2 linked regions of the Astyanax mexicanus genome follow. The protein of the gene in region 1 purifies or fractionates together with the protein of each later gene. This does not show direct contact. Links are inferred from orthologs where the notes say so. Each region holds a gene or a part of one and is shown on either strand. Other genes may lie near its edges.

What was found.
Region 2: the proteins of dnaaf10 (region 1) and polr2b purify together in Homo sapiens (affinity purification with mass spectrometry; 3 studies listed by BioGRID and IntAct, with this or other methods). This does not show direct contact. The link is inferred for Astyanax mexicanus from reciprocal best matches to the Homo sapiens genes DNAAF10 and POLR2B.

The regions. Positions count from the first base shown.
Region 1 is NC_064414.1:16,650,091-16,665,586, forward strand, and holds dnaaf10 (dynein axonemal assembly factor 10), read right to left. Parts: upstream 6,692-15,496; 5' UTR 6,439-6,691; coding exon 6,253-6,438; intron 5,094-6,252; coding exon 4,993-5,093; intron 4,902-4,992; coding exon 4,771-4,901; intron 4,667-4,770; coding exon 4,565-4,666; intron 4,454-4,564; coding exon 4,338-4,453; intron 2,742-4,337; coding exon 2,607-2,741; intron 2,126-2,606; coding exon 2,028-2,125; intron 1,885-2,027; coding exon 1,677-1,884; 3' UTR 1,504-1,676; downstream 1-1,503. Other genes in the region: RNA-binding protein PNO1, read left to right, coding at 6,918-7,082, 7,779-7,928, 8,035-8,118, 8,374-8,434, 8,516-8,633, 8,755-8,825, 9,700-9,767; ppp3r1a (calcineurin subunit B type 1), read right to left, coding at 11,424-11,471, 11,659-11,843, 12,094-12,153, 14,504-14,680. UniProt on the Homo sapiens protein: Key assembly factor specifically required for the stability of axonemal dynein heavy chains in cytoplasm.
Region 2 is NC_064426.1:1,737,171-1,752,551, reverse strand, and holds the start of polr2b (DNA-directed RNA polymerase II subunit RPB2), read right to left. Parts: upstream 7,294-15,381; 5' UTR 7,178-7,293; coding exon 7,159-7,177; intron 6,223-7,158; coding exon 6,150-6,222; intron 6,036-6,149; coding exon 5,885-6,035; intron 5,603-5,884; coding exon 5,490-5,602; intron 5,168-5,489; coding exon 4,948-5,167; intron 3,926-4,947; coding exon 3,767-3,925; intron 3,380-3,766; coding exon 3,215-3,379; intron 2,755-3,214; coding exon 2,558-2,754; intron 1,660-2,557; coding exon 1,540-1,659; intron 1,436-1,539; coding exon 1,249-1,435; intron 317-1,248; coding exon 173-316; intron 7-172; coding exon 1-6. Other genes in the region: noa1 (nitric oxide-associated protein 1), read left to right, coding at 8,453-9,743, 10,827-10,991, 11,711-11,922, 12,013-12,144, 12,464-12,580, 13,101-13,218, 13,369-13,586. UniProt on the Homo sapiens protein: Catalytic core component of RNA polymerase II (Pol II), a DNA-dependent RNA polymerase which synthesizes mRNA precursors and many functional non-coding RNAs using the four ribonucleoside triphosphates as substrates.

The sequences.
Region 1 (15,496 bases):
GTAGAGTGTTCAGATTAGTCAATATTGTGTGGGTATATGTAACAACATTTTAAACATGAATGTATTTTTATTATTTTTTCCTTTTTAAATTGTCAGAATATATTTAGAGTATTCAGGTTTCTCTCCATCTGTTTTTTTTTTCCCTTTTTTAGCACAATACGCAACAATAGTGGCAGATAACTGCTTACATAAAAATAACATGCAGATATTTAGATCTGACCTATTTGTCTTACTAATATGGTATGAAATGTATAATCCTATGAAGCAGGTCATATACAGTAAATATTAAAGTTATTTAAGTACTTGGATATCTCACCTTTTATTGCTTCCACAAGCAGAACTATGGTCAAAATAAAACCTAACCTCTAAACTTAATACATCTTAATGTCAAAGTAAAACAGTAATTTTAATGTGATATATATATATATATATATATAATATTGTAGTAAAATAAGTGATCACTTAATTATTAACCCCCTTTATAGCTGCAACTCAACAGAAGTCCATTACTGATGATTCTCAAAACTCATCCAGTTGGTTCTGTTTTATTTATTGCATTACAGAATCTACACGCTGAGCTGCGCTGCTTCCTTCACTACCTTCTGCCGTTTTTTTGTACAGTTCCAGTATTTTTTCCTAGTTCAATGTTTTATTTCTAGTTTTGGGATTTGTCTCTGCTTCAGCTCCTTCACCTCTCTACGTTCCCAGCATAGCTGCTGACAATTTTAACGTATTAACTATTTTTAAATGTATTTCACACTTGGGCCCAATCTCATTCTACCTAAAAACTGTAGGGTAGGGTGTCCCGATTCTTGTTGGAACATTGCAGTAGGGTACAGTATTACCTGACCCTCCAAACAGTGATTTTTCAGAGGCACACTACAAATAGAGGGCTATGAGAAATCATGGTAGCATAACAGCACAAGCAACCAAACAAACCCACAAATATAACTGGAGTTTTCTTTGTTAAAAAGTACAATAATCATTCCATTATATTTAATGTGGCTTAAAGTATTGTGGCCATTTCTCAGAACAAGCATAAAAACAGGAGACCCTATTGGGGATTTTAACTCTTTGTAACACAAGGGGTTGGGTACCAATGAGAAATGGGATTGAGCCTTATTCTCCATTTACTTTAACAAAGTCTTTTAAAGTCTTTTTACCTTCATCTCTGAAGTCGCTCTTACATCTCCTTACTTCCTGCTCTCCTCTTTAACCTGCTTCCACCTGCTGATCAGCATATTCATGGTTCTGGGTATGCTGTGTCTTTGCAACAGAGCTAAACACCTTAAATACTGAAGGATTTCCCACCACTGCACTGCACAGACACAAAAACTCAAAGCACATTCCCTGTTTAAAACAACCCTGTTAAAAATCAAACAATGATATAAGTGTGTGTATTCACTATTCCTCTTCTCTAGCTCCATAAACTCCTCTCCTTTCTTTGAGTGAAAAAGTGAGAAATGTGTTTGTGAAGAAAAGCTGTCCACGTCTGGGAAGGAATGCTGTATAAAACACCATTTAATATATTTAAACAGATTAAAGAGCACATCAGCACAGAGACACTGCTCTGCCAAACAGAGTATTTGAGTATGTGAGTATACTCATTAAAAAGTTCATATTTGAGTGGAAAATACAGTTACAGCAGAAATATATACAGGTTTGGAGTCACGGACTCACACTCTGTTCAGCTTGGTAACGATGAGTACTCGCACACACTGGTCGAAGGAAGAACACACACACAGACCCTGTTTATCAGGACTCCAGTCCAGGCTGGAGATGGGCTGCGTGGACAGCGTAACATTTTGCAGGAGGTTCAGTGTCCCAGCCACTCCTCTCTCCTCTCCATCTCCATCCATCTCACTCCTCTTCGCTGGATACTCACTGCAATAACACAAACATTCATAAAAATCATGCATTTAAAAACATATATGTATTAGTTGTCTATGAAACAGGATTTTCAGTATCACAGAGGCTGCTATGAATGTGTGAGATTTTTATAGTGGTACCAGCAATGATTTACTTACTATTTCCATAAGTGCAGGTTTCCTGCTCCACCTGCTGTCATGAAAATGTCTCGGTTTTGAGGCAAATGCCGTACTTGCCATACTGTAGACTTATGAGCCTAAAAAATGTAAAAGAGTAAATGAGCGTGTACAAATCGGAATACCATATTTTTCACACTATAAATTGCACCGGATTAAAAGGTGCACTATCAACAAAAGCATCAGATTATAGGGGGCATTATAAGCAACAAAAATAAGAAACGAGGGTGTCGCATGTTAATCTACACAGATTTCTCCCCTGAAAACTGTTTATTTGGGTGAGTAAAGTGCTTCCGTTTATTTACAGTAAGCTTTGATTTCCAATATGTTTAACAGTGCAGTTAGCAGCAGCGCTAGTCGTGGTTAGCAAATACTAGTAAATGCGCCCGACAGCGCTACACAGAGGAACCCTGAGTGTCAGGGCGCCATCAGCAAGCGGTTCATCCAATGTAGATTAAAGGATTTTAAGTGAGCCTTATAGTGCGAAAAACAATACTAAGATAAACAGAAGCTCCACAGATCTACATTTATATCAGCAACATTCACGTCAACTTCAACTACCTTTTCAGATACAGAAGCAAAGCCTTTGGTTGGGTGTTCAGTTCTCATGTCAAACACGTGGAATTTGCCCTCTAAAGATGTTGCCACCAGTTTGTTCATTTGGATATCCTTCCTGTCAAATTCAACACTGCACACCTATCAAAGAGAGAATACAAATAAACACACAATTATCATACTTTTAAAAAGCTATAGAGACAACACTGCAACATTCATATTAGTGGTTACTTTTTGGTATGTTTGTTATGTTATGTAATAATACTTATAATACATAGATTAGTAATATTCTACAGCACAGACTGAAAGTATTCGGTTCTAGGCAAACAGTTCAGCCCCTGATCAAACTAAGAACCTTTGTTAATTAGCTAAACTAAAATTGCTTGGACACTTAACTTTAACTTGTTAACATTTAGCTGTAAAGTCTCAACCAGACAAGGATTGTCTGAAGGTGATTCCAGAGCTTAGCAAATTTATAGGATTCCTTAAGCAGCTGACTGAGAATAATAAACCACAAATAAAGCTAAATAAAAGGAATTTGTACCAAAGAGAAGTCATAATTTAGAACTATATAACTTTAGAACTGTAAAATTAATCAAATAAAAAATACCTTAAATTAGTCAAATTTAAAGTTGCTATATCTATATAATAGGGATGCACAACCGTATCAGAATTCTATCTGTATGATAATTACTATTTTAGAAACACTGGTCGATACTAATATAATTCCAATATTGTTGTGCATCCATAATATATACATATCAACATGTTCTTTGATTACCATCAGAAATGTCAAAATTGTTAAAATCAACTGCATAAATCACTGAGCTAAAAACCCAGTATCTTTCACATGCTGAAGCAAGAATTTAAGTTCACCTGATCTAAACAGAGCAAAACTCTATATAAACATCTAAATATTCTAGATAATGTGGAGAAAACTGCAGCTTTTTTTATTAAAGGTGCTGCTGACTGATAAAGTAAATATATAAATCATGGAAAATCTATAGGTTAATGTATACGTTTGTGGACATTTTTTCTAATAGATAGAACCTCTGCTGACATTGTTGTGCAAGTGCACACACAGCTTGTCTAGTTCCTGCCAATAGAATAGGATTCCCTGGAGCAGATAAATATGAACCTTTTTGGTTCATTTGCCAGCCACTGGCTAGGAGTGTAAAGACCCCAGAGAAAGTGTGCTGGAATGACACTTTTTAATGGGATGAGTTGAGGAGTTGGGCATAAGGTGGCCGTGATCAAACAGCATCCAAACATCACTAATGCTCATCACTAAACTCAATCAAATCCTCATAGCAATGCTACGAATAAACACTATTTCAGAAGAAGCAGGAACTGCAATACTTTTTTTCCATATATGTTCGAAAAGACAAAAAACAATATTTGATTATAAAACATTATGCATTGGGATTGTGTGGCAGCTAATGTAAGAGAATAGTTCCTATTTACAGCACTGAAAATCTGTGGTTCGATGTTAAACATGACATTTACACAAGACACCTCAACATTGATGTCTGATTTATTTGATGTTTGTAAAGCAGTATTAAACTGTAATCCTAATCACAAATTGTAAAGGTTTTAATGCTGTCCTTATAAACTCTGGAGCACTGGGGTTGACAAAAAGACCAAAGAAAAATGTTTTGCAGAAAACCTGAGGACATGATTCCAACTAAAACTAATAAATCGTACACTTAAATGAGAAAGAAATAAAATTTCACATACGCCATTTTTAATGTTTTTCTCCCATCGTACAGACATATTCCGCAGGTCAAACAGCTTGATGTCTCCATTGTCGTAACCAGCACACACACAGCGGTCCTGGTCATTAAAGGCGTGACCTTTCAATGTAACATAAATAAATAAAGATTTACAACTAAATGGAGTAAAACATGTTTGTGCTTGTTGGCAAACTTTTGACATATTAACTGGATATAGTGTAAAATACACACCAAAAGCAACTGTCCAACAATCTCTCTTAGTTTCTCCTTCGACTGGCTCCATGTTTGCCACAGGTGTGTCCTTTTGTCTCGGGTCCCACACCTTAACTGTACCTACAAAAACAAGTCAAAATACGTACGCCTGATTACAAACTACTGTTCGTACCTAATAGCAAACTTTCTATTGTAGTGTGCATCTCGAAAGCAGTAACGCATACCGTCTCTGCTTCCTGTAACGATTTCTGGAGCACCATCTCCAATACCTAAACCTCCAACGCCATCAACAGCGTTCACTATCTCCTTATGGGCTTTCACCGAGTAAACCGGGACATCCGGCGCTTCCAGATTCCTAAACAAACATTCATACTTCAGTCAGCCTGTTAGTAAAAACTCTAACATACTAGAAAGAAAAAAATTTAAGAAAAAAAAATTATTAATACCACACGTGTAGATTTCCATCAAAGTCTCCTGTGGCCAAATGCCTCTGCTGGAGAGATGAAGCTCCAAACGTCCCACATTTTATGGGCTTGGTTTTCTCCGTCTGAAATACAGAAACAGAACACAAAACTAAGCAGTGCTAATGAATGCAGTCATGAGCATGTGTGCGGATCAGTACACTACATGTAGGATTAGATTAAATGTAACTTAAGATCATAAAATCATGAGTACATACAAATGTTTAAATATATACATTTCCTAGAATTTTGATCAGCACTGTGGGGAACATAAGCAAACACAGTCAACGGCCATCGTTGTTAGTAGGGATGCACCGAAACTGGGATACTCAACAAAAATAACAAAAAAAAAATCAAGTAATAAGTGTTAAGTAAAGCTAAAGACAAATTTATTCTGAACAGTATTGTGTTTTGTTAGAATCTCTGCTTGGAAGTTATAAATATTTAAAATATCGAGACACATGCTGCATTCATTGTTTCTGGTAATACAAGTTCTAAATAAAAGTTTATCCTGCTTTTATTGTAGCAACTGTGACATCTGGCCAGGAAAGACTTTCTACTAGATTTGGAGCAATGCTGTGAGGATTTGATTGCATTGGATGACAAAAAGAGCTACTAAGTGAGATATCATAGAATTTGAAGTGAAGAGAGGTGGAGAGATTAATAAAGGAGTATGGGTGGTTGATGAAGCCCTAAAATAATATCACAATATTTCATGGTATTTTCGTGATCACAATACTCTTGGCAATATGACAAAACACTGAGTTATAAAAATTATTACAAGAATACACTACTGCAACAAAATGAAAAAAAAAAAAAAAAACTTAATCACAGTTTTCATGCATCTTGGCATGTTCTCCTCCACCAGTCTTGCTCACTGATTTTGGATAACTATATGCCACTCCTGTTGCAAAAATTCAGGAAGTTCAGCTTGGTTTGATGGCTTGTGATCATCCATATTCCTCTTGATTATATTACATAGTAAGTTTACTAAAATTTAGTAAAATCAAAGAAACTCATCAGAGTTGTATATTTCAGTGTTGTTTTCGTATCACACGAGGACGTGGCTGCTGTAAAAACACGCTGAAATATATTATCAGAGCTGTCCCTGTTAATCCCCGTTGCTATGACAACCGACAGCCGGACTGTTCTAGAAATCTCAGAGACATTAGCGAGTTACAGACCCTCTAAACTAGAGAATCAGACACTTTTACAGCGATACAGTGATAAAGAGCTAGAGTTCACCTCTTTAACGAGCTTTATGTCTCCGTGCTGCAGCTCGTAGATCTGCATTAATCCGGTTCCTCTGCAGGAACTTCCCAAACACACGAACTTCGCGCTGCAGGGAATCCATTTACTGTCGAACAGCGAGTAATTCAGACTCTTCTGACTGTGGGAGACAACTTGCGGCTTGTCCAGTGGAGCCGACATCCCGCTCCTACCGCTATATAACTTTACTATATAAAATATATATTTATACAGCTCTACACACAGAGCTCCACTATACAGAACTCAGTTCTCTACTCTAACCTGAACTAACTAACGTTAACGCTTCAGTGTTGCACTCTGACCGACCGAGGACCCCTGAACCAACACCGCAGCTGTCCACAGAACTGCCTGACCGCCCGGCCCATACAAATATTTATTTTTCAGACCACATCGTAGACAGCCCTGCCCTCAGCACACTAACTCTATTTCATTTCAATCTTAAACACAGTTTAATCACATTTCTCTCGGTGTTTATCTCCCCTCGCCGCGCTGCTCCCGCTTTTATTCAGTCCGGCGTGTTCAGACAGCTCGGCCCGGGGTCCTTGTGAGTAGAGTGAGGGAGCGCGTGCTACAGGTAAACAGGGAGTTATTAATTCTCCTGTTTTTATTGAATCTGAGGAATAAACACCAAACCCTCCAGCATGGAGACCGCGGAGAGCACGCTGCCCGAGCCGGGGTTTGAGGAGGTCCGGGGGAAGCGGCGGGAGAAGCGGAAGAGAGCGGCGCAGGACGCGGGCATGGAGAGCGACGAGCCTGCTGCGCCCAAGAGGCCGCAGTTCCCCCCCATATCAGGCGATTTACTGCAGGTACAACACTGACCGGGTTCTGTCCTGTGACCCAGGTTAATAACCAGGCTAATAATCGGATTGACTCCGACGGTAGCTGCGGGTTTATTTATAGAAATGTCAAAGAGTTTCTGAGGGCAAAGCCATACACGTGTGCTGTTTTGCGCATGCGCAGATCCTCAGCATGAGCAGTAGCCACGGTACTTGTTAGCAAGTGTGTTTACTAAAAAAACTTAACCTAACAAAAAATATATAAGCGCTCTAACAAAGTTATTACACCTAATGGTTATGTGTACACTACCCCATAAAACCAAGCACACACGTATCCAGTAGAAGTCAGAGACACGCTGTTTGTTCAGGCTCGTTCACACGTGTCCAGATCGATAATATGTGGGCTTTAAATCCTGGTTCCATAGGTGTTCACACGTGTAAATAAGATAATGTCTAATATTTAGGTAACGTTACAAGGATGGATACAGCAGACAACATTTTAGCTAGCTGTAATCAGGTTGTGTTTATCAGTGTTGTTGATGATGATCTATTAATATAAGTTTGAGTCTCTGGTATTCTCGCTCAGCTCGTCTAAGAGCCATTTCGTCACTTCCATCTCTTCAGTCAGAATGAGAGAGTTAGTGTACAGGAGTTTACAACACTACAAAATAAGTGTTTTTATTGTTGTTGTTTTGTTATCTTAAACATATCTGGTTTGTTTTTCAGGGAGGTGCTGATGAGATGAGGAAAATACCTGTTCCTTCTCACCGCTACACACCGTTGAAGGACAACTGGCTTAAAATATTTACCCCCATTGTTGAGAACCTGCAACTTCAAGTCAGATTTAATCTCAAAACAAGAAATGTTGAGATTAAGGTAAAGACAAATTATTTCATTAAATGTGGTTGTGAAAGGGCTTGGAACTGTGAAACTCTTTCATTATTCTTCCTTTTCGTAAATGTATTTATTTATACATTTTCAGACGTGCAAGGAAACACAAGATATTGGTGCGCTCACGAAAGCAGCAGACTTTGTAAAGGCATTTGTTTTGGGATTTCAAGTTGAGGTGGGTATTTAGACACAGTATTTTGAAGATTACAGTGCAGTGAAAAAGTATTTGCCCTATATAGATTTCTTGTTTTTGCTTTTTTTGTCATACTTACATTTTTCAGAAAAAAGATAACCTAAGTGAATATATAAAAAAAACAGTTTTATTGCAGTTGTTGATGCCAAAAACACATCTGTACGGGGCAAATACTTTTTCACATCACTGTATATTTATGAATTACTGTGAAAAATAATTTTTTGAACTGTTCCTCAGGATGCACTTGCACTCATCAGACTGGATGAACTGTTTTTGGAAACATTTGATGTCACAGATGGTAAGTCTAATTTCAGCATTGATGTGCATTTACTCCTCGTAATGTCTCATTTGTAAAGTGGTTTTATTTGTGTAATTTTAGTTAAGCCTCTGAAAGGAGATCACCTCTGTAGAGCTGTTGGTAGAATAGCAGGCAAAGGAGGAAAAACTAAATTCACTATTGAAAACGTCACCAAAACTAGGATAGTCCTGGCAGACACGTGAGTGCATTGTAAATGTTTGTTCATTTTTTGTTTAATTGAACAGTTAATTGCTTATTTTAAGAAAAAATATTCATTTGTATGTGTGCTAATAAATACATTTTATCTTTTATTTTTGCAGGAAGGTTCACATATTAGGATCTTTTCAGAACATAAAAATGGCACGGACAGCTATATGCAATCTCATTTTGGGTAAGTAAAGGCAGGCTGGTGGCTTTTAACCTGCTCCTGGAGTATTGGAACACCTGACATTCACTGTTTCTTTTAAATTTATTTTAAATAATTTTAAGTGCTTTTGTTGGAGTAAATTCCAATTTATAATTCTGCATCGAACCTACGCCATAACCCGACGCACACCTCCCCAGAAATGTAACTATAGAACTCTGACAGCAGCAGCAGCAGCTGTGATTGGTCTACTGAGCTTTGTGTTCCTGCCTTCATGGTTTATACTGCAGAGTGATTCAGAGTCGTGTACACATGAATACAGAAGAATAAACATGCCCACTATGTCAGGCTCTCACGCAGACTACATTGTAGGCAATGCGTTGACTTGACTCAGAAGTATAAACCAGCCTTAACTGTGTCTCCTGTGCAGGGAAGACTTTATACTTAAAACATTTCTTTGAGCAGTTAATTGCATTTAGCTACATAAGCTTCATCATTTTAGAGAACACAGTTCCACTGTGTAGCATTAGGTATGGGGTGAAAAGGATCATGTTTTATCTAGTCCTATTCTATTAGCATCAAGTACTCTACAGAGACTAGACACACTGTGTGTTTGTGTTAGCACATCCGTGTCAGCAAAGGGTGCAACATAGATTACCTTAATGTTTTTATACTGTTTTATATGTCCAAAAAAATAATAATTTAAACCGTAACCTAATACCCCAACCTTACCCAAATAAAAGAAAGGTGTTGGATTTGAATTGTAACGTGCTGTAAGGGAGCTCTGTGGGTGAGGTTTGGAGGCCACTGAGCTGTGTGTGTGTGTGTATGTGTGTATAAGAGGTTGGGTGATGAAATGGATGGTTAGTAACTGGATTGATGTTTCCTTTCACCTCATCAGGGAGCCCACCATCAAAGGTGTATGGGAACATCCGAGCGGTTGCCAGTCGTTCAGCTGAGAGATTCTAACGCTGGCTGGATTTCTCTGATCTGGGACCTGTGGTGCAGCTGATGGACTCATACAGAAATGTGGCAGATTAGACACACAGGAACACGGGTCTGAAATATACCCAACCGGAACTAAAGAACTGTCCCGTCATTTCTGACTGTCTGATGGATCAGTAATTTCTGTAAATATTCACTTAAGAATTGATCAAAAATAAATAAAAATCACATAGCGCTGGAAAAGAGGCAACTCATAGATTCAGTGAGAAATGTGATATTTTAAAGATTTATTTTCATACAGTATCAAGTCTGTGTATTCCCACAGTAGGCAATACAATGCAGCATGCAGAGTGAACATCCCACACCTGAAATGTGGTGAAATTCCCATTCCATCAAAGTAAAGCTGGAGTGAAGTTTACTTTCCCCATATAAATGATGTTTTAATATTAAAAAAAAAAAACCCACCACAACCAGTATGTAAGATCTTCTGTTTGACTGAGTAAATCCCAGTCAGGTCCCTGCCACTCTAATTTAATCAGGAACATTTTAAAAGAAATGAGTTAACTAAACATAGGCAACATCCATGATTCTTAGATATTTGATATTAACATCACAATCTAAGTGTAAACAGTAGGAGTGCTGTAAATTGGAAAACATGCAGAAAGGAAAACGTGCATGCAGGCACTGGAGAAGCTCCAAGGGTTTCAAGATGCACAGAGAGCTGCAGTTAAAGAACGATGAAGGAAATACAGAGAGTGATTAAAGAGGAAAACCTTCTTTCCCCTCAGACTCTAAACTTGTCATGCGGAAACTTTCCAGTGTATTGCAGTCCCACCTAAACATTAAATTCACCATTAACAATGGAGTTATCATTTTTAATATGACCAGTTTTTTGCAGTAGATTGATTTGATATATGCTCACTGATAGTATATTAGGACTATTTCAGTGCACCTGTTTTAAAAAGACCCTAAAGAAGACGATGTTTAGGTAAACTATGAACACAGCTGTTTTCTTGGCATCTGTTTCTGTTTGACTGTTTCACAAGAGTTAAACACAAGTTACTCTGCAATAATATAAATATTTATAAATAAACAATCTATCACAATTGAAAACGGTATCATGGAACATGATTAAATGCAATAATGATAAATATCGCATACCACAATGTGTAAAATAAAAAACAAAAATGTTTTTGGCTTGAAAAAAAAAAATGCACCAAACATGTTTGCCCAAAAAATAATAATGACAGGCAGTATTTACGTAAAGTTTGTCAATTCCATGTTCTGATTGGCACATCATAACCAAGGTCTGTACGGATACTGAATATTATTTTTCTCCTCTGAAAACAAGTTAAATAGCTGATTAGAAAAAGTTACAGACAAAATAAATACTTCAAATAATAAATAAACATTACAAAACAAAAAATGAACAAGCCAACCCGTCTTCCCTTCTCCAGATAGAGACACTCATAGCCGTTTTTCAGTCAGTAAAGTGCTACACCAGGTTATTGAGAGGGTTTAAGTTCAATAACACTTCACCAGGCTCGTATTAGCAAAGGGGGTAGCTCAGAGAGTAAATACTTCTGTTGAAATATTATAGAGGGCAATGCTGGATATCTTGAGCAGATCATCAGAGGTGGACAGGAAAGCGCGGGGCGGGGGGCAGTGCAGGCCGGACACTCACACGTCCACTACCATCTTTTTGTGTATGTCGAGACCGCCGACAACCTGAGTAAAAAAAATGATGTATAAACATTTTACTATTGATACTAGATAAATTGAAGTTTAGCCTGTTGGTTACAGACAGTATCATTATCTGTAAACTGAAACATTCAAAGCATCGGCACAGAAGTCCTCTAAAGGAACAGTAAAATTAACACCACCTGCGTGCAACTTTATAACGATAGACACTTACTGCGCAGAACTCTTCAAAAGATATTCTCCCATCTCCATCCTTATCTGCGTTGATGATGGTCTTATCTACGATCTGCTGCAGCTGTGTGTCCTTCAGGTTGTTCCCCACCATCATCTTCAGGACTTGGAATAATTCCCCATTGGAAATATAACCGTCTTTATCCATGTCGTAGATCCTGAATGCGACTGAAGATACACAGAACAGAGTTAGATTCAGTGGTAACGCATTACAATAAGAGTAAGTTAATTAACAGTGCTAATGACAAAATGTCTCAACTAAATATTACTCGAGACAAGTCAAGACTTAATTAAACACTACAACATTTTTATTTCATTTTAATTTATAACATTCTAATTCATTAAAATTGAGTAATGTTTAATAATGTCTTAACTACTGTCAGTACTGTCAATCATTAGCTCAGAATGTTTGACTCACATCGCAGCTTCTGTTCCTTATCTCCCTTTACGCTGAACTGAGAGACACCCTCTATAAACTCTGGAGAAAACAGAAAAGAAGCTGTTACAGATACAAAATGTGGAAAAAGTTTTTTAGCACAAATTTGCAAAACCCTCACTGTTCCTTATTGGGTTTCATTCTAATCCAGAAGAAGCACAATTTTAGGATGTAGGGTTAACATAAGTGTTAATAACATGGTAATCATTATGAAGTATAATAACATATTCTATCACTCTTTGTTAAAATAATATTATAATATCTATAAAACATAAAAACTTTCAATAAAGGTCATAAACTAATTTGTATATGATTAAGTGAAATACGTATTTAATCACCTACCAACCAGCAAGGCACAAATCAGTCCTGTCCCTTTAAGACAGTACTCTAAATCTCAGCTCATTATGTGTATAAAAGACCCCTGTCACAGAATCAGTCTCTTCCATTCAAACCTCTCCACCATCAGGGGCAAGACCACAGTGCTGTGAAAGAACATCTGAAACAAGACTGTAGACCCGAACAATGCTGGAATGATAAGTTATTAATGTAAATATTGTGACAGGTCTACTCTCTGCACTTTTAAACCTTCCCACACTGGATCTTATTAAAACATTGTAGAGTGGCGTAGTCTCACTGAAGCAGTTGCCTACTAGTAGTGGTGTAACAGATCACAATTCTCACTGTTCAGACCATATCACAGTTTAACTTTGCTTTCTGTTTTTTTAATACGAAGAAGTCTGTAGTGTCTGTGATATTTGTGTTGGATCTCACAAGTTTATGAATAATATACATTTTTTTTTATATTTATGACCAACATATTTGTCTCACACTCTAATTACTTACTAATTAACTAATTAATTACTAATATTTTTGACAGTAAAACCACACAGAGAACTCAATGTTTTGTAGGTGAATGATTTGACAATATTCATCATTTTAATGGTAACTCCTGTGAGTGACTGATTTAATAAAAAAAGGGCATAATCTGGTATAATACCCCTCCTCTGTGTGCTCTGGCCTGTTACATACTTAAGTACCTGGGCCTGATCTGTCCCTGTGTGGCTTGTATAGAGGGGGGCATGTCTGTAGCACCAGACTCCACCCGCTCCACTGTTAGCAGTCACCGCACTGCAGTTCCAGCTGTCTGTGTTTAGAGCACCAGAAGATAACTTAGATACCGTCAATAATTTGTTGACAAATTAGATTTAGATTTAGTTTTCTGTTGATAAAAAAAAAAACGGCACAATGTTCGTACCAAAGTGTGAGCTTTCAGACCCAAAGTGTTTTTGTTACTGATTAATTTAAACTAGTGACTTTCGTTTTTAAACAGTCTGCTCTTTTCTATTAAAAAAATATGGAGAGGTCGGAGTCTTTCTCTCTTGCATTGTGTCTGTATGAAACGGCCACTCCTCCCACTAATATAACTCTGCTCTCCATTCACACACCAGTGTTATCCACTGTAGATGTGAAGTGCTGCCTAAGCCGTCCACTCAATTCTGACACACCCCTACTGACTGGTAAGCTAAAGCTAATATTAGGCTTGTGCTATTTATCTAGTATATAATAACTGGATAAATGGATATATACCATATTTTTCACACTATTAGGCACACCAGATTATAAGGCGCACTATCAATGAACATCTATTTTCTGGTCTATTTCCATAAATAAGGCACACCGGCTTATAAACAACAATAGTAAAGAACAAGGGTGTCGACAGGGTGTTGTCCCTTCTAACTCAGCAGGTCTCGCTGCTGGGGGGATGCCAGTAATTCTTAAAAAAAAAAAAAAAAAAAAAAAAAAAATATTCAAAGTGAAATGAGCCCTGGAAGTAAATCTCCACAGATCTACTCTGTTTATTTGGGTGAGTAAAGTGCTTCCATTTATTTACAGTAAGCTTAGATTTCCAATATTTTCAACAGTGTGGTTAGCACCAGCGCTAGCCTAGGTTAGCACCAGCGCTAGCCATGGTTATCAAAAGCACTTGCTGTGGTTAGCGGTGCTTAGCGCTAGTAAATGCCGCCCAACAGCGCTACACTGAGTAATTCTGAGTGTTCCGGTAACCCAGCACAATATTAGCTAGCAGTTTGTCCCACGTAGCTTGTTTTATGACGATAAACACACAGACTACAGTCCAATATACTTACCTCTAACATCTAGCAGAGCTAGCCTTGCGGTTAGCGGCTAATGCTAATGCTACTCCAGCCTGGCGAAACTTTAATAAAAGTCCTTAAAAAAGCTGCACTTCATGCTGCTCCTTACACACATAAGGCGTACCGGATCATAAGGTGCACTGACGATTTTTGGGAAAATTAAAGGATTTTAAGTGCGCCTTATAGTGTGGAAAAATACAGTATGCATGCATGTCAGCTTGTTCATGGTTCTGCCTTACCTTGGAAGTCCACTTCCCCATTGCCATCTGTGTCGAATATATCAATAACCCTCTGCACCAGTGGATTCTGCTGCAGCTCTGGCAGGGACATGAACTCCTCCACACTCAGAGATCCAGAGTTATCCAGGTCCAGTTTCTTAAATCTCTTTCCTAACCTCTTAATCTCATCAGCATCGACTGGAGTGGAGAAAAGGAGAGAAGATAAGAGGAAAAAAAATGAACAAACATAGCAAAACTAACATCCCCTTATACACACCTATACCTATACACAACTCAGTGCTAACTGCAGTGACCTGAACGACCCAAGCTGCTGCAGGTAAACAATTAATAGAGTCCTGAGAAAATCAGCACCCTGATGAATATAGAACACACTCACATCCTGCAGTCTGATCCCTCCTTTCTGAAGCAGCCATGCTTTCTGTTCTAACATCAGGCTGATCCACTACAGTACGTCTCCCCACCTACACCCGCTCACATCACCACATTAAACCTGTCCTACAGAGTCTCCACTGTCTCCCTGTAAAACACTGCATCCAATTCAACATTATTCTACAAAACATACAGAACTTGCTCCATCTTATCTGTTTAACTAACTGACTCCATACAGACCCTCCCACACTATCAGGTATTCCTCTACTGGATGACTTCCTACGACACCCTCTAATTTTCATGGTTCTTCTCCAGGCTGGCATCCTGACTTCGTAACTCTCTTCCCTCACAAATCAAACAGGCCAGCTCTGTTCCTACATTTAAAACTAAACTCAAAACCTTAAGATCTCTTCTCTGATGCTTACGTCTGTTCTTAAACTTTATAGCCTGTAATTATATTACTGTGATTATGCTTTAAAATTCTGTAAGTTACAAAGTTCTTGAAAAGCACTCTATAAATATTACATATTATTATAATTATTATTACGCCTCCATGCCATGCTGCCCCTGACCTTTCACACAGTAGTACAGCATCATTCTGTAACTATAAACTCAGCCTATCAT
Region 2 (15,381 bases), on another chromosome or scaffold:
GTGACCCTGCATCAAACAAAATATTATTATTAATAATTATATTAACAAGAATGCATGGAGAGCTTCGGTTACAGTGCATTACCGGCTGATAATGGTACTCATAGAACGCCCCTCAGCCAATCACATAGCAGATAACTGTGGTATAATCTAAAAAGTTAATTGCTAGCTGTACCTCTGGGGTCTCGGCGGGGCACACCATGCCCCACAGTGTGTTGTGGAGTTGCCTGGGTTTGGCCAGCTTTCCGTCTCGGCCGATGGGAGAGTTTACACGCCGCAAGTGTGATAACGTAGAGGCGAACGTCAGTCTGTTCAACACCTGTAGAGACATTATTCATAAAATTACATAATAAATAAATAGATTTATACTAATGTTGTGTTACTATTAATGCTTTACAGCATTTATGCTTTATTTTAAACACTGCTAAAAATGTATTGCAAACCTGATGCTCTCATTGCTATTGTGAGCTGTATAACCCTAGAAATTATAATAATAAAAAGTATATTATAAAACCTGCAACCATTTAATAATTATATAAAGGACATTTATTTCAATGGATCAGATAGAAAGTATATTGGCATAAATAAAAATAACTAAAACCCTAATATCTCTACTTCTTTTCTTTTTTTCCCTTAAAAAGTAAATGTACAATATATAGTACCAGTACCATTTTTTTAGTTATTTTAAAATGTTCTGCATTTTAGATGTATACTAAAATCATCCAAACTATGGAGAAAACCATATGTAAAAATTCAGCAAAAAAAAAAAGTGTTAAAAGAGAATGTGTGTTATATTTTACATCCTTCAAACTATCACCTATTGCTAAGATGATCAGTTTTGCGTATCTCTGCTGAATTTGAAATGCTGCTCAGTCAGCTTTATGAGGTAGGCTTTCAGTTAACAGCGGTGCTGAACTCGTCAAGAGTTTAAGTTTAAGAAATGAGGGTAAGTCAATCTGAGAAGAAGATTTTCAAGAACTTTCAACTTTCAAAGTATCCACAAGTGCAGTCACCACAAAGACCATCAAAAACATTATGATGAAGAAACTGGCACTCATCAGGGTCGCCTCAATAAAAGGAAGAGCAAAATTTTCCTCTGTTGTACAGGATAAGTTTACCAGCCTCAGAGTTTCCAGCCTCAGAAACCACAAATGAACAGCTCCCCAGATAAGAGCACCTAAATGCTTAAATCACAGAGTATTCTGATTTGTTTGAATCACTTCACTGTTCATTTATAATGATGTAGTGTACCTGAGACACTCCAGCTCTGGCCTGGTGAGCCTTTTTGACATCGCCCCAGTTGCCCGTGGCCAGAGAATACTTCAGCCCATCAGAGATGATGCGGGTTTTGATGGCCAGCTCCAGGTTAAAGTCCTTCCCCCGGTCGATAAACTTCTGTGCGTAGATCCTGATCTCCTTCAGCAGGTTCTTAAACATTCTGGAGAGGAGACGAGAGTTAGACAGAGTTTAATTCAACTTTTCATACTCAATTTCTTCTCAAAGTCTCTTTTAGTAATGGTTAATAATACTCAATCTTCTCACCCTCTGAAGAGGAAGGCCAGCAGAGGGCCGGCCAGGTCCAGCCTTTTGTTTCCGTAATGATCTCTGTCATCCAGCTCTCTTCTGCCCAGAGCTGCCAGCAGCAGTCTGTGCACCATATAACTACAGAATAAAGTACAGGAAACAAAGAACAAACAGAAACATCAGTGTAAATATACACATATCTGGTATATGCTGTTATGATAACTACAGAACTATCGTTTAACATACAGACAGACCCTCAATCACTTCTGCTGTTCTTGACATTGGCGATTATTTTTTATTATTGTGGAAAGCCTATTAATGTGAACAGAGCTGCAACAACTAATCGACTTATAGATTAATCAGTTATAAATATAGTTAGCAACTTATTTAATAATGGATTAGCTGGGTCTACATTATTATAACACATAAGTACAGTATGTATACCAACCAAAGCCATGGCAGTAAAACACCATTAAACTGGATGCATGTTGGAGCCACAGGTGAGATTCACAGTAAATTCGCAGTAAATTAATAAAAACTTTTTCTTTTTATCTTAACGTTTCTATAGCCTGCTAGAGTGTTTAAAATATACATCTCTCATTTTCTCATTTTTATTAAATGTATATCTCACACTTAAAATGTTAAATAAACTAAACGTAAAGTCTTTTTCAAGATCTTTTCTGACTCTAATGTTGTCTGGATGTCAATAACGATAATAATACAATTATTAAACGTGAATGAGCAGATATTTCGGTTTTCTACACAAACAGTGCTTTTTTTGCATTTGTTTTATTTCATTAGAATACATAAATATTTTATATAGTCAAGTACCAATGTCTGGATATTTTAAACTTCTGTAAAACCTCTTTAAAAAAGATTTAAAAAGATTAACTGCATTGTTGTGCTATTATTAGATCATTAAATCAGTGTTATAAAATGGTCTTAAATAAAACCATTAATAAATGGCAATAAATTATATTAATATTGTGTATCTTGATTATTTCTAGGACAGTGCTAATTTTACTGAAATACTCACCCTAAAAAGTAGGCTTTCTTTGTCTCACAGAAGTCAGAAACTCCCACATGGGGCAGAACCTCTTTCTGCAGAACCTCTTTAGCGTATTTAATCCTCCTCTCCTTGGTGACTCCAGGTTTGGCTCCTCTGGATCCGATGAAGTTCAGAGCTACGTTCTGCTCCTGGATCACGAAGGCCTCGTCCAGAGACGGCTTCACCTGTGGAGATGCAGAGAGAGAGAAAAGAGAGAGTCAGTTTTGTAACGAACACACGTGCAACAAAAGAACGCTTCACATTAAGTTTCCCTTTAACCTTTGTCAGAATTTGAGTGTAGCACTGAGAATTCTCTTCAGCCATGATCAGGCTTTTTTTGTATAGTGTTAAAAGTTAAAGGTTTTGTTCTAAGGGACCATTAAACCATTAAGTGACTGCACACAACACTTAATTTGCTTTCAAGGGATTACTTTAGAAGAAATTGATATCTAAGGGATGATCCAATTATGTACCTTTAGAAAGCTCTTAGACAATTTTGTTCCAAATATTTTTCTAAAACTACATCTTTGAGGGATAGTTAAGGGAAATATTAAGGGAAAAAAATAATATTTTATGCTGAATCTGAATAATCCCCAGTCCCAGGCATTGCTGATTTGATTTAAGTGTTTTAAAGCAGGTAATTACCATCTCCATCATCTCTGGGTCATCAAAGTCGTAGATGATGTGCTCCAGGATGTCCCTGTCGGACACAAATCCCAGAGCTCTGAACACGATGATGATGGGCACTTCCTGTCTGATGTACGGCAGCGTAGAGACAATTCTCTGACCGATAGCGCTCTTCTTCACTCCCTGAAAAAAAAAAAAACAGAAAAATCAAATATACAGTGTTAAAATAACACTGACTGTGCAATAAAAAGCAAAAGAGTAGTACCCTGATGTGATTAATCAGGATATTTATATTTCATGGTATAATATCGTTCACAATATTTTAAAAATGTTGGGGATATTAATGCGTACAACACGATACGGCACAGCCCTAGTTTTAATTATTTCATATTATTTAATATTGCTCTGTGTCCACAGGTGTATAATAAAAGCAGCAGCTAAGCATGCTGGCTTCAGATATCACTACACACACCTCAAACTTCATGTAGCTTCAGATTAACTCAAGAACAGTAGAGAGTAGAGAGGTAATATAGTGTGTAATTGTATAAAGGTGTAAAGGTGTGTTCTGACCTGTCCTCCTCTGGCCATCATGCTGACCCAGATGGAGCTGGTGGGTCTGGAGGAGTTCTCCAGGCAGGACCTGCACTCGGCCGTGTACGCATACTTAGAGTCCTTTTTTGCAAACACATACACCGTGTTAGTGGCCATCTTCTCCTGAGCGATAAGAACCTGCAAATACAGACATCAGCATTATATTATATTCAGGAAATCATGCAATATCTGGTACAAATGATGCAGGACAGGCTACACACATTTAAAGTATCGTATTAATGATTTAATAATTTCTGAATTACTGTAGTACTACTGAATACGGTCATGAGCAAAAAAACTAATTAACTAAATCCTAATTATTTTTGTCAATACTCATCGACTGTAATCATGCACTAAATTGAAGTTAAAAAGATAAAATCAATACACAAAATACAATATAAAAAGTCAATGCAGCAAAATCACACAGATTAAAACAAGATATGCACTGGATTTTTAACAAGAAAAATCAAATGGCATATTTTAATCTCGATTATCTCAATTACTGTTTTCACAATTCTTTAAAAAACAAATATATCAGTAAAAATGCAATTTAAATAAATCACCAAGCCCTAGAACTAGACCTGTCAAAATAACAATATTTTGTGGTTTACTGTGAAACAATTTTACTGTGCATATTAAAGACCAATAAATTGCACTGATTTAATGATTACAAAAAAGCAAAACAAAGCATGCATACCCTTTTAAAGTCAACATTATGATTAATTACCACAATTCTCAAATATTATTGAGGTCATGTCCATTTATTGTATGATAAGTCAATAACGTGCTTAAAGTAACTGAAAGTATAAATAAAAAAAAAAGAAATTTTAAACAAATTACAATAAAAAAAAAGCAATGAACGTTTTCATCAAATTTTTTTTTTTTTTTTTGCCAGCCACAAACAAGTCCACTAAAAGCACTGTTAATCATTACAGTAAATAAAATATAATTTATTTTTCTATTTCTTTAAAGCTGGGAAGGCACGGGTAACTTCCATATTTAAATCACATTAGGCATTTATCTGCAACCTAACCTGGATTTTGTCTTCAAAATATCTAATCTAAACGTTTAAATAGAGCAAAAAGAGAGTATATGAAACATTTATAAACGATGATAAAGTGGTATTTATAATAAGATGAAATCAGCTATCAGATCCTGACCTTCTCGGAGCCGTTGATGATGAAGTAGCCCCCCGGGTCCAGGGGACACTCGTTCAGCTCACAGAGATCACGGTCCGTCAGGCCGCTGAGGAGACAGTAGGTGGAGCGGAGCATGATGGGAATTTTGCCGATGAAGGTTTTCTGGTGCTGCGTCTGAAGCTGCTCCTCTCCCTCCTTTATGATGGTCTTGGTGATGTCCACGTACAGAGGAGCCGAGTACCTGAACCAGCAGAGCATTTTACACAATAAATCACACAACTTTTAACATCTTATTCTTACATTTTCACATAATTATCTGAACTTTCTACTCCTTACATTTTAATAAAAACAACCTATTTAGTTTCAGCTGGTTTTCATTCCGGCTTCTCATCGTTCAAGAAAACCCCTATCCAGATAAATCTCTCCATCCAGATAGAGTGAATCTGATTGTGATTGGATGAAGAGAAGTCTAAACATATACCATTCCGACTCCCTATTGGTTTATTGGTTTATACTATGATCCATCACACCTGCACACGCCCCCCAAAGGCTGTTGTACTCACGTGAGGTTTCGGAGTCTGGCCTCATTGGGCATCATGGGTGATGGAGCTCCATCTCTTTCCCAGTGTGTTGGTTTGGACAAATAGATCTGCTCAAACTTCAGCAGATACCGAGGCTACAAAAAAAAAAAAAAAAAAAAAAAAAAAAAAAATCACATTAAAAAAAAAACTTTCACAAACAGCATTTTATGTTTTATTGATGAATAAAAACAGAGTTTAGGCCTGTCACAATTAACTTTTTTTGATAACCTATTGTACAAAATCACTGGAAAAAAACACTATTTAAACAAAGCTGACGTTAGGGGTGGGCGATATAAAATAATATTAATAATTATTATATTATTGTTATTATAATAACAGATGCTAGATATGTGCAATCACATTCGGCATTAACTTACCGGTTCCTCCACCTCTCCGGAGGTGTGCTGAGCTTCAGCCTGTAGGTCTATGGGTGGAGCATCCTCCACGATCCTCTGAACAGACATCTGAATAAACTCATCAAATGAGTCCAGCTGCTGTCGCACCAGGCCCTTCTCATCAAAGTAGGAGCTGGAGAATAAAGAAGAGAAAGCATATTTTTAACATCTGGCCAGTGGACATTTGATTTAGAACAAAATGCTTAAATAACAGAGTTCAATGTATTAAAGCAGCAACATTATCTACCTGATAACAATCCAGCAGGCTTCCTGCCACAGATCTGGGGTGATTTCATCATCATCTTCATCATACTGGATATCTGGAGAAAGAAAGGGAGAGGTTTATTCTCAGAGACTAAACTACATTTTCAGCAGACTATCAGATTCTCAGTGCATCAACAGCAGCAAATAAATCTGGTTTAATCAAGGCCAGAGGTAGCTATAGCTCAGCTTAGGCTATGATCTTACCCACCCAAACAGGAGATGAGAAACTTTATATCTTTACCTATAGATAATAGCAAAACAGTTTCTAATTTTTAAAACATTTCAAGTGCTGCAGATATAGGAACAGCCAGTAGAAAACCTTAATAATTTGTGTGAATTAAAAATTAACCAACAAACCTTTTTTTCTAGAGCTGTATATATTATATATTAGGTTTATTTGAGCATACGATTGGTCAATTCAGAATGCAGTCAACATGTAAACTGAGTGCAAACAAGTAACTACAAGAATCTAACTGAAACAGAGATATATTTTTTATTTTACTGAAATAAATCATATTGGTAAAATGCAATCAATAACAAGACATAACTTTTATTACTATATATATATATTACGTACTGATAACCGTCCTATAATCAGTATGAATAATATAAAAAAAAAACACGTGAAAATATGCCCACAACATTCCTACAAACTTCTGAAACACTTGCCTAGGTTAGCTAACAGCTAGCTACCTAAACTTTATTTATTTAACTAGATACGCTTTTTTATTATATATTCTAGTACAAACAAAGCTTAAAATCACCCGCTGATATAATTTAAAGAGTGATTATCGAAAAATAAACTGCATTTATTACTGAAATAAAGCAGAAATCCCAGTATTTTGAGTCTTAAATGAGAGAATAGTCTGTTGTCTATAAAGAGCTGCTAAGCTAACATGCTAACTACGTTGTGTTAACGCGCAGTTTACAGCACATTAAACCGAATTACGAAGCAGAACAGAGTATTTAAGCTTCCAGCGCTTTAAACAAACCTTCATCCTGATCATACATGATGTTTACTGTTGTTTACAGCCTTGTTTACGGTAAACAAACACAAAAACGTCCCGTTAAAACGCGCTGTATCTGTTCACCGAGCCGCCGGCGCGCGCGTGGCGTCACTTCTGGTGCTCGCGACCGAATTGTACGTTCATATATGTGATCTCTTGCTTTTACTAGGAATAAGGTTTTAATTGATTTGTGTGAGTTTTAATTACAATTATATAATTATTTAATCATATGTGTCACTTTGACTAATAAAAAATAAACAAATCTTATGTATTTTTGTTTACTGCAAAGTATTATACTGAAAATGGAAAAATCTTAAATAATATATATTTTTTCGTTACTTAAGTAAAATATATCAATAAAAAAACTCCTAAAAAAATGTTAATAACCCCAAAAATACGGCATTTTTTAACATCTATGATAGATTGTTTAGAAAATAAATTAACAAAAAATATTTTTACTCTTTCTCTCTTTTCATAATAACTAATGATAATGAGTTAAGCTAGTGTTACATATTGTATTGTATTAGTGCACTATATCAATTGTACACAATATATTACACAATCCAATAAAATAAAAAAACATTCATATATTATTTTACAACATTTTATTTATATAAATATTTTATAATTAGTTATTTTGAATGTAAAAAATCAAATCGTACTTGTTTATTCTTAATGCAAGATTTGAATTCATGTATTATGTCAGTTATTTACAATATATTACACAATCCAGTAAAGTAAAAAAAGACACGTTGATTAATTATTACTATTACTAGTTTTTTATTGTATTGTATATGTATACTTTATTTTAAAACATAATAAAACAGTTTGGCGATTAAATACTTTTCTTCTTCTTCTTTTTTTTTTAGAAAATAGCGTAAGTGTCATTATATTAGCATCCGGTGCTCTGTCGATTTGTGCTATTGAGCTATATATGGTCTCAGTCGTTCTACGCACACAATTTGACACGCTTTTACATATTTATATGTTGTTTTTTATCATAATAAATTAAACAAATATTTTTTCTATACTTTTACTGAAAGCATCGTTGTTCAAATCTCGTTTGCTATCCCAATTATTACAAAATACACAGCACGGCAACAAGTTTTGACCAGGTAGCAGAAATCGACACAACACTGATGACGTCTTTTACCAGCGACAGACGAAAACACTCCTCCTGTCTGTGTTCACGTGTGTTCGTGAGTTGATCTGAGATTTCTTTTTGTAATGTATAAATGTTTATATCGGTTTATTGATATATATTGCTTATGTTATCACGATGTTTAAATTATTACAGCTATCTGCGGTTCAGTTTTCGTCTCTTAAATGTTTAAAACGTGTGTCAGAGCTAGAAAACAGAAGATGGTGTCACCTTTACTCGGGTCTTCTGTCTCAAAGTAGCAGAAACAGCTGTGTTTCAGTTGACAGGACTAAATGCTTAAGATTAAGATTTCACACCACTGTGACAGTGACTTTAAAAGACTCTGAAAGAACTGAAATACATAAAGAAAGACTTCAGTCATTATCAGGATCATCTTCATTATCTTCCACTCTACATCCTAATCAGACCAAAGCAGTGTACTCCTCTGTAGAGCCAGATAAAGAGGAGGAGTTTGCTTTTCTTGAGTTTTCTGATGTTCAGGACCAAGAACAAGAAGATGTTCCAGAGCATCTTCGCGTAACTGAGTCCATGAAGGTCAAAGAGGACAAAGCGCCCAAGATTACCAGCGCAGAGCTGCGGCACAAGGCCTTGGAGCTTCAATTGAAGTCGTTGAGAGATGTTGCCACCAAGGAGGTGGACCAAGAGGCGTCCATTGAGTTCCACGACGAGGGATTTCCACTGGAAAAGTCATCTAATAAGAAGAAATTGAAAAAGAAGCAAGAGCATAAAGTCTACGGTACGCCGGACGCAGAAGTTCCAGTAAGTGACTCCTGCTGCACCGGCTGTGGTGCCCTGATGCACTGTACCATCCCTGAAGTACCTGGGTACCTCCCCAGCGAGAAGTTCAAACAGCTGATCGAGGAGGACTCCTTAAAGCAGGCGGTGTGCCAGCGCTGCTTCCTACTCGTCCACCACCAGAAAGCTCTGAATGTCACAATGTCCAAAGAGGAATACAGGAAAATAGTCGGTAAAATAAAGTCTCAGAAAGCGCTGGTGCTGCTCATCGTGGATCTTCTGGATCTCCCAGACTCCATCGTCCCAGACCTGCCGCAACTCGTGGGCCAAAACAAGCATGTGGTGATTTTGGGGAACAAAGTGGACCTGCTGCCTGGAGACACAGATAACTACCTGAAGAGGATCAGAGGGCAGCTGGCGCAGTATTGTGCAGACGCAGGTGTAGCCATCACTGACCAAAAAGACATCCATCTCATCAGTGCTAAGACTGGGTACGGCATAGAGAACCTGATCACCAGGCTGCAGATGTCCTGGAAGTATAAGGGGGATGTGTATCTGGTTGGCACCGCCAACGCTGGCAAGTCTACGCTGTTCAACACCCTGCTGGAGTCTGACTACTGCAAGTCCAGAGCCTCAGACGTGATCCACAAAGCCACCATTTCTCCATGGCCAGGTAATATATATTATATATATATTCTCTCGAAGATATACACACACACTCACCATAACATTCTGACCAAAAATGTGTAGTTGAGATGAAGAAATACTTCACTACTGTACTTAAGTACTAAAATACTGTATCTATATCTACTAGAGTATTATTTTTACTTCACTTCTTAAGTAATTAGGTACCAAAACACTGTATCTGTATCTATTGAAGTATTATTTATTACTTCACTACTTAAGTACTAAAATACTGTATCTGTACTCTAATGATACTTCATTGCATATTTTAGATGAGTTTATTTTTTAATCGTTTTTTTATGTGCTGAATTATTACTAGAGACCTTGACTTGAGTAAAACGAAAAGTGCTCGGTCAAAAAAGTGAATTAAGTAGAAGTGTTTTTTAAGCTTTACACTTAAGTGGAAGTACTAAAGTATTTAACGTTTTCTGTACTCAAGTATTGCAAGTAGTTTGTTGTAAAATGTAGTACTAAAATACTGAAAATCTCCAGTAGATACAGATACAGCATTTTAGTACTTCAGTACAGTAGTGAAGTAAAAATAATACTTCAGTAGATACAGATACAGGATTTTAGTACCCAAGTACAGTAGTGAAGTAGTAAAAATAATACTTCAGTAGATACAGATACATCATTTTAGTACTAAAGTACAGTAATGAAGTAAAAATAATACTCCAGTAGATACAGATACAGCATTTTAGTACTTCAGTATGGTAGTAAAGTAAAAATAATACTTCAGTAGATACAGATACAGTATTTTAGTACTTCAGTATGGTAGTAAAGTAAAAATAATACTTCAGTAGATACAGATACAGTATTTTAGTACTAAAGTACAGTAATGAAGTAAAAATAATACTCCAGTAGATACAGATACAGTATTTTAGTACTTCAGTATGGTAGTAAAGTAAAAATAATACTTCAGTAGATATAGATACAGGATTTTAGTACCCAAGTACAGTAGTGAAGTAGTAAAAATAATACTCCAGTAGATACAGTATTTATGTAGTATCTGTAATTATAGAACTATACACTTATTATAGAACACACTCTGTTTTCATCCTTGTTTATGAAGGAACAACACTGAACCTGCTGAAGTTTCCCATCATCAATCCAACACCGTACCGGCTGTTCCGGCGGGCGGAGCGTCTGCGCCTCGCGGCCCAGGAGACGGAGGAGGACCTCAGCCCGGAGGAGCTGAAGAGGATCAGGCAGTTCAGCAGGCAGGGGTACCTGGTCGGTGAGTAGAGAACCTGCTGTAACCTTTATGCTACAACAATAGAGTAGAGGTACTTAGAGTTTAGCTTTAACTTTATTGTACTGAATAGAACCCTGATCTTTATCAGTGTGTAAAACTACCTCCACCATGTTTAAAAGCTGTACTTTACTTTGGGGGTCTTACTTACAGTAAGAGTGTATGAAACTACCTCCACCATGTTTAAAAGCTGTACTTTAGCATGAAGTCTATCTGCTTCTTAATGGCGCTCTTTTAAGCCACCTAGAGAAAATTCAAATAATAAAAGGTTATAATTCTATATATTATCAAAAATAAAAGTGATTTTTCATTGGCATTGCTCAAAGAATCACATGAGGACATGGATTTAACTTTCTTTTTTTTCGCTGTAAAATAAACAGGATATAGTCCAGGGTTATTCCTGATTTGAGTCTAGGAAATCGACAAACTCTCTTTAATAAACACAGTATTTATACCCTCTTATTATCTGTTGTAGGCATCAATGTTCTTTGGGGTCAAGAACATTTTAAAACCAGATGTTTTAACAGGGAGGTCTTTTGTAAAGAATATAATAATAATTATAATAAGTCAACAAACACATATAACATGACATAATCTGTAAAAATGTATTTCTAATAATTTTCTGAAGGTTTAAAATTCTGGGGTCCAATTAACCCCAAATAGAAATATCAGTAGCTTTATATAAATCAGAGATCTGATTGCAGGTCGGGTCGGTCGGACGTTCCGAGTGGATCAGTCCAAGAAGAAGTTGGTGGAGTTCGACCCGGACAGTCTCAGCTTCGGAGAGGACCTTACTGAGGACAGCGTAGGGAAACCGCGCGAGGACACGGACACTGTGGAGACTGAGCTGCCCTATAACGAGATTAAAGACGCCCACTGGTTCTACGATACCCCCGGCATTATGAAGGAGTACGATGTGAGTGATGATGTAAGAGGTTGTGTATGAGTTGAAGGTAATTTGGAACAGAAGTGTGGAAATGGGACGATGTTTTTGGGTTTTCTTCAGGTTCTCAGTGTGCTAAACGAACAGGAGGTGAAGATAGTGTCGCCCACACACGCCATCACCCCGAGGACGTTTCTGCTGAAGCCTGGCATGGTGTTGTTTCTGGGAGCGCTGGCACGCATTGATTACCTGGAGGTAGGAATAAAGAGTATTGAAGAAAAAAAAAAAAGAAAATACTCCAATAGAGAACAGATACAGTATTTTAGTACTTAAGCACAGTAGTGAAGTAAAAATAATACTCCAGTAGATACAGATACAGCATTTTAGTACTTCAGTACAGTAGTGAAGAAAGAGTAATATTACAGTAGATAAACATACAGTATTTTAAGTACTTCATTACAGTAGTAAAGTAAAAAAATAATACTCCAGTAGATACACATACCGTATTTTAGTACTTTTACTTTTACACTATATATCTCTGATTATCATTAATGATCTCTTTTACCGTCCGCAGGGGAATCAGTCGTGCTGGTTTACGGTCGTCGCTTCTTCACAAATTCCAGTGCACATCACCAGTTTGGACAAGGCTGACGCCGTCTACGATAAACATGCGGGGAACTCTCTACTGGCTGTGAGTTACAACTCAAATAATACTAATATCTGTGTGATAAAGCACCAGATCAATGCTGACCCTCAGAAACCCTTTATCTCCAAAACAGCAGCTTTATACTAACATGAAAAACATCTTAACCTTTAGTGGAGATCAGTGTAAAAAGAGTTCATAGAATTATTGTGAAGCATTTCTATTGGTCCTTTCCTCATGCAAATCTGATTCAATATAAAGAACAGCTTCCAATGTTCCCAATGGTGGTGTAATGGTGGTGATCTGGAGGTGTTGGTCTAGTGTTGGTCTGGTAATGGTCGTCTGGTGGTTGTCTGATGGTGATCTAGTGGTGATCTGCTGGTGGTGGTGGTCTGATGGAGGTGTAATGGTGATCTGGTGGTGGTCTAATGGTGGATCTGGTTGTTGTCTAATGGAGGTCTGATGGTGGTAATCTGGAGGTGTTGGTCTGTTAATGGTTGTCTGATGGTGATCTGCTGGTGGTGGTGGTCTGAAGGTAAGTGTTCACACTCCTCTGTTTCCTGTTCAGGTGCCAATGGGTGGAAAAGAGCGCATGAAAGAGTTTCCTCCTTTTGAAGCTCAAGACTTTGAACTGGAGGGTCAAGGAGTGAAGACGGCGGTGACGGACATCAAACTGTCCTCAGCAGGTAAATCACCTGATAACTTCAAATAACTAAATCCAGATTATATAAAATAAAGGAAATAGACAAACACAGTCTGTTAGGTTAAATTAGGTCAAAATTTTAGTACAATATTAGAGAAAGCTCTAATCTGATCTGAACTCTGGTCTGTGTCAGGTTGGGTTTCGGTGACGGCAGCTCAGGGGGAGCGTCTGCGGTTGCGGGCTCACGCTCCCAAAGCAGCAGGACTGTGTTTACGGACGCCGCCGCTGCTTCCTCACATCGTTAATGTGAAGGGAGACCGCATCCGCAAATCTGCCGCCTACAAACCCAAGAAACCCCAGACTGTTAACAACAGGAGTCTCCCGGTACAGAAGGAACGGAAGAGAAACTGAAAAATCATCTGAAAGTCTGGACGGGTCACTCTGTCTTTATGCATTGATACAGTTTTATGTATATATTTGACTCATTACTTTAAATACTTTAGTGTAAAAATGATGTTTAATACGGTTAATAAATTACAATTAAATAAATCATTACAGAAAGTAATTTTGTTTTGTTTCTTCACATTTACTAGGGCTGGGTATTGGCAAAAAAAACTTGGCGGTACAGAGATTATGATTTAATATCACAATATATTATATTGTTTATATATTGACATACTGTAACATTTTAGAGCAGAAAAATATATAATATTGATAAAATGAATCTTTAAGTTCTTTTTTTTTAACCAATCAGAACAGTGGGATATAACAAGATCACTATCTAGTGCACTAAGTTATCCACTTCTGACACCAATAATTACATATAAATGAATAATTAATTAAATATATATTTTTAAATGTTCAAATTTAGTAAAAATATGCATTAATTCAAGAAAACAAGGCACACATTTAGGAATCAATATATTTTTTTATTCAGATCTTGGTTCTTTACACGTGATAAGGCACAAAACACACTTAACCGAAACCGTTCCTGTAAAAAGCCAATTTAATTTCCTCGTGGGAAATAGATCACAGTTCTAAAGATCAAACATTACAGCTGATACTAAATGTCTACCTCACATATTAAAACAAGTGACTTTTTTATTCTTTTGATTACATCTGTAAAACAAAGGAGATATGATTTCAGTTTAGATTCCATAGAAAAGAAAAGGTCAGTAAGTAAAATCTCTATTAAACATAAACTAAATCAGACTCAAATTTACAGAAACTCCTCTAACCGTCTACGAGTGCATTACATTAGGGGGGTGTTTAAGCTGTTTAACCAGTGGATGACCAGTTACAGGGGGAGGGGCCTAGAGGTTGCTTTGGTTTGATATCCAATATACATTATTGCACTATTACTGAATTCACTAAAGGCATCCATTTATACGTTTTTTTTCCCCCCAAACACATTTTTGTACATATATATATATTTTTTTACATGGCACAGATGAATGCCAGTCTAACCAACATAATGCCAGCTTGGGTCGGCTTTGGAGTTACAAAAATGAATTTCGAGGAAATTCTTCCTGTGGCACTGAGATCTGAATTACTCTTCAGGAAAAATCGCAAAAGGAGAAAAGTCCACCTTAAAAGTTCAACCTCATGAAGACACGCTCACACAAACCAACAAATACACATGCACACACTGAAAAGGAAAAAAAAAAAAAACACAAAAAAGATCAACACAAAAAAAAACAACCAAAAAAATGATTGTCAGACGCATGAACAAAAACAAACCTAAAAAAAGAGGAAAAACAATGAAGACAATGAAACAGTTGAGTAATATGTACAGTGTATGTTTCCGCAACAGGCACATGAATGAGAATATAAAATCATCTTTGGACCAAACTGTGAAATTGAGGCTTCACCCACACATATCCAGATATTTTTAATAAAAACTAAGATTTTATTCCAAGCATGCTAGCCCTGTAGGGGGCGATATAGAGTACCTCATAAAGTGAGGCATCAACCCACCATAAAGAAGAATGAAAAGCTAATACAATAGATTCAACCACTACACTCTAATATCGCTCTTCCATCAAAAGAACTCTTTTCAGGCTTATGAGAACCGTGGTGCTTTTTAGAGAACCAGCCTGTGTTTCCACCATTTTTAGTGGAACCGCCAAAATGTCACATCATACGTCATCAACAAAGGGGAACTGCACAGCACTGACATTCTAAATCTAAACAGAGCATTATATAT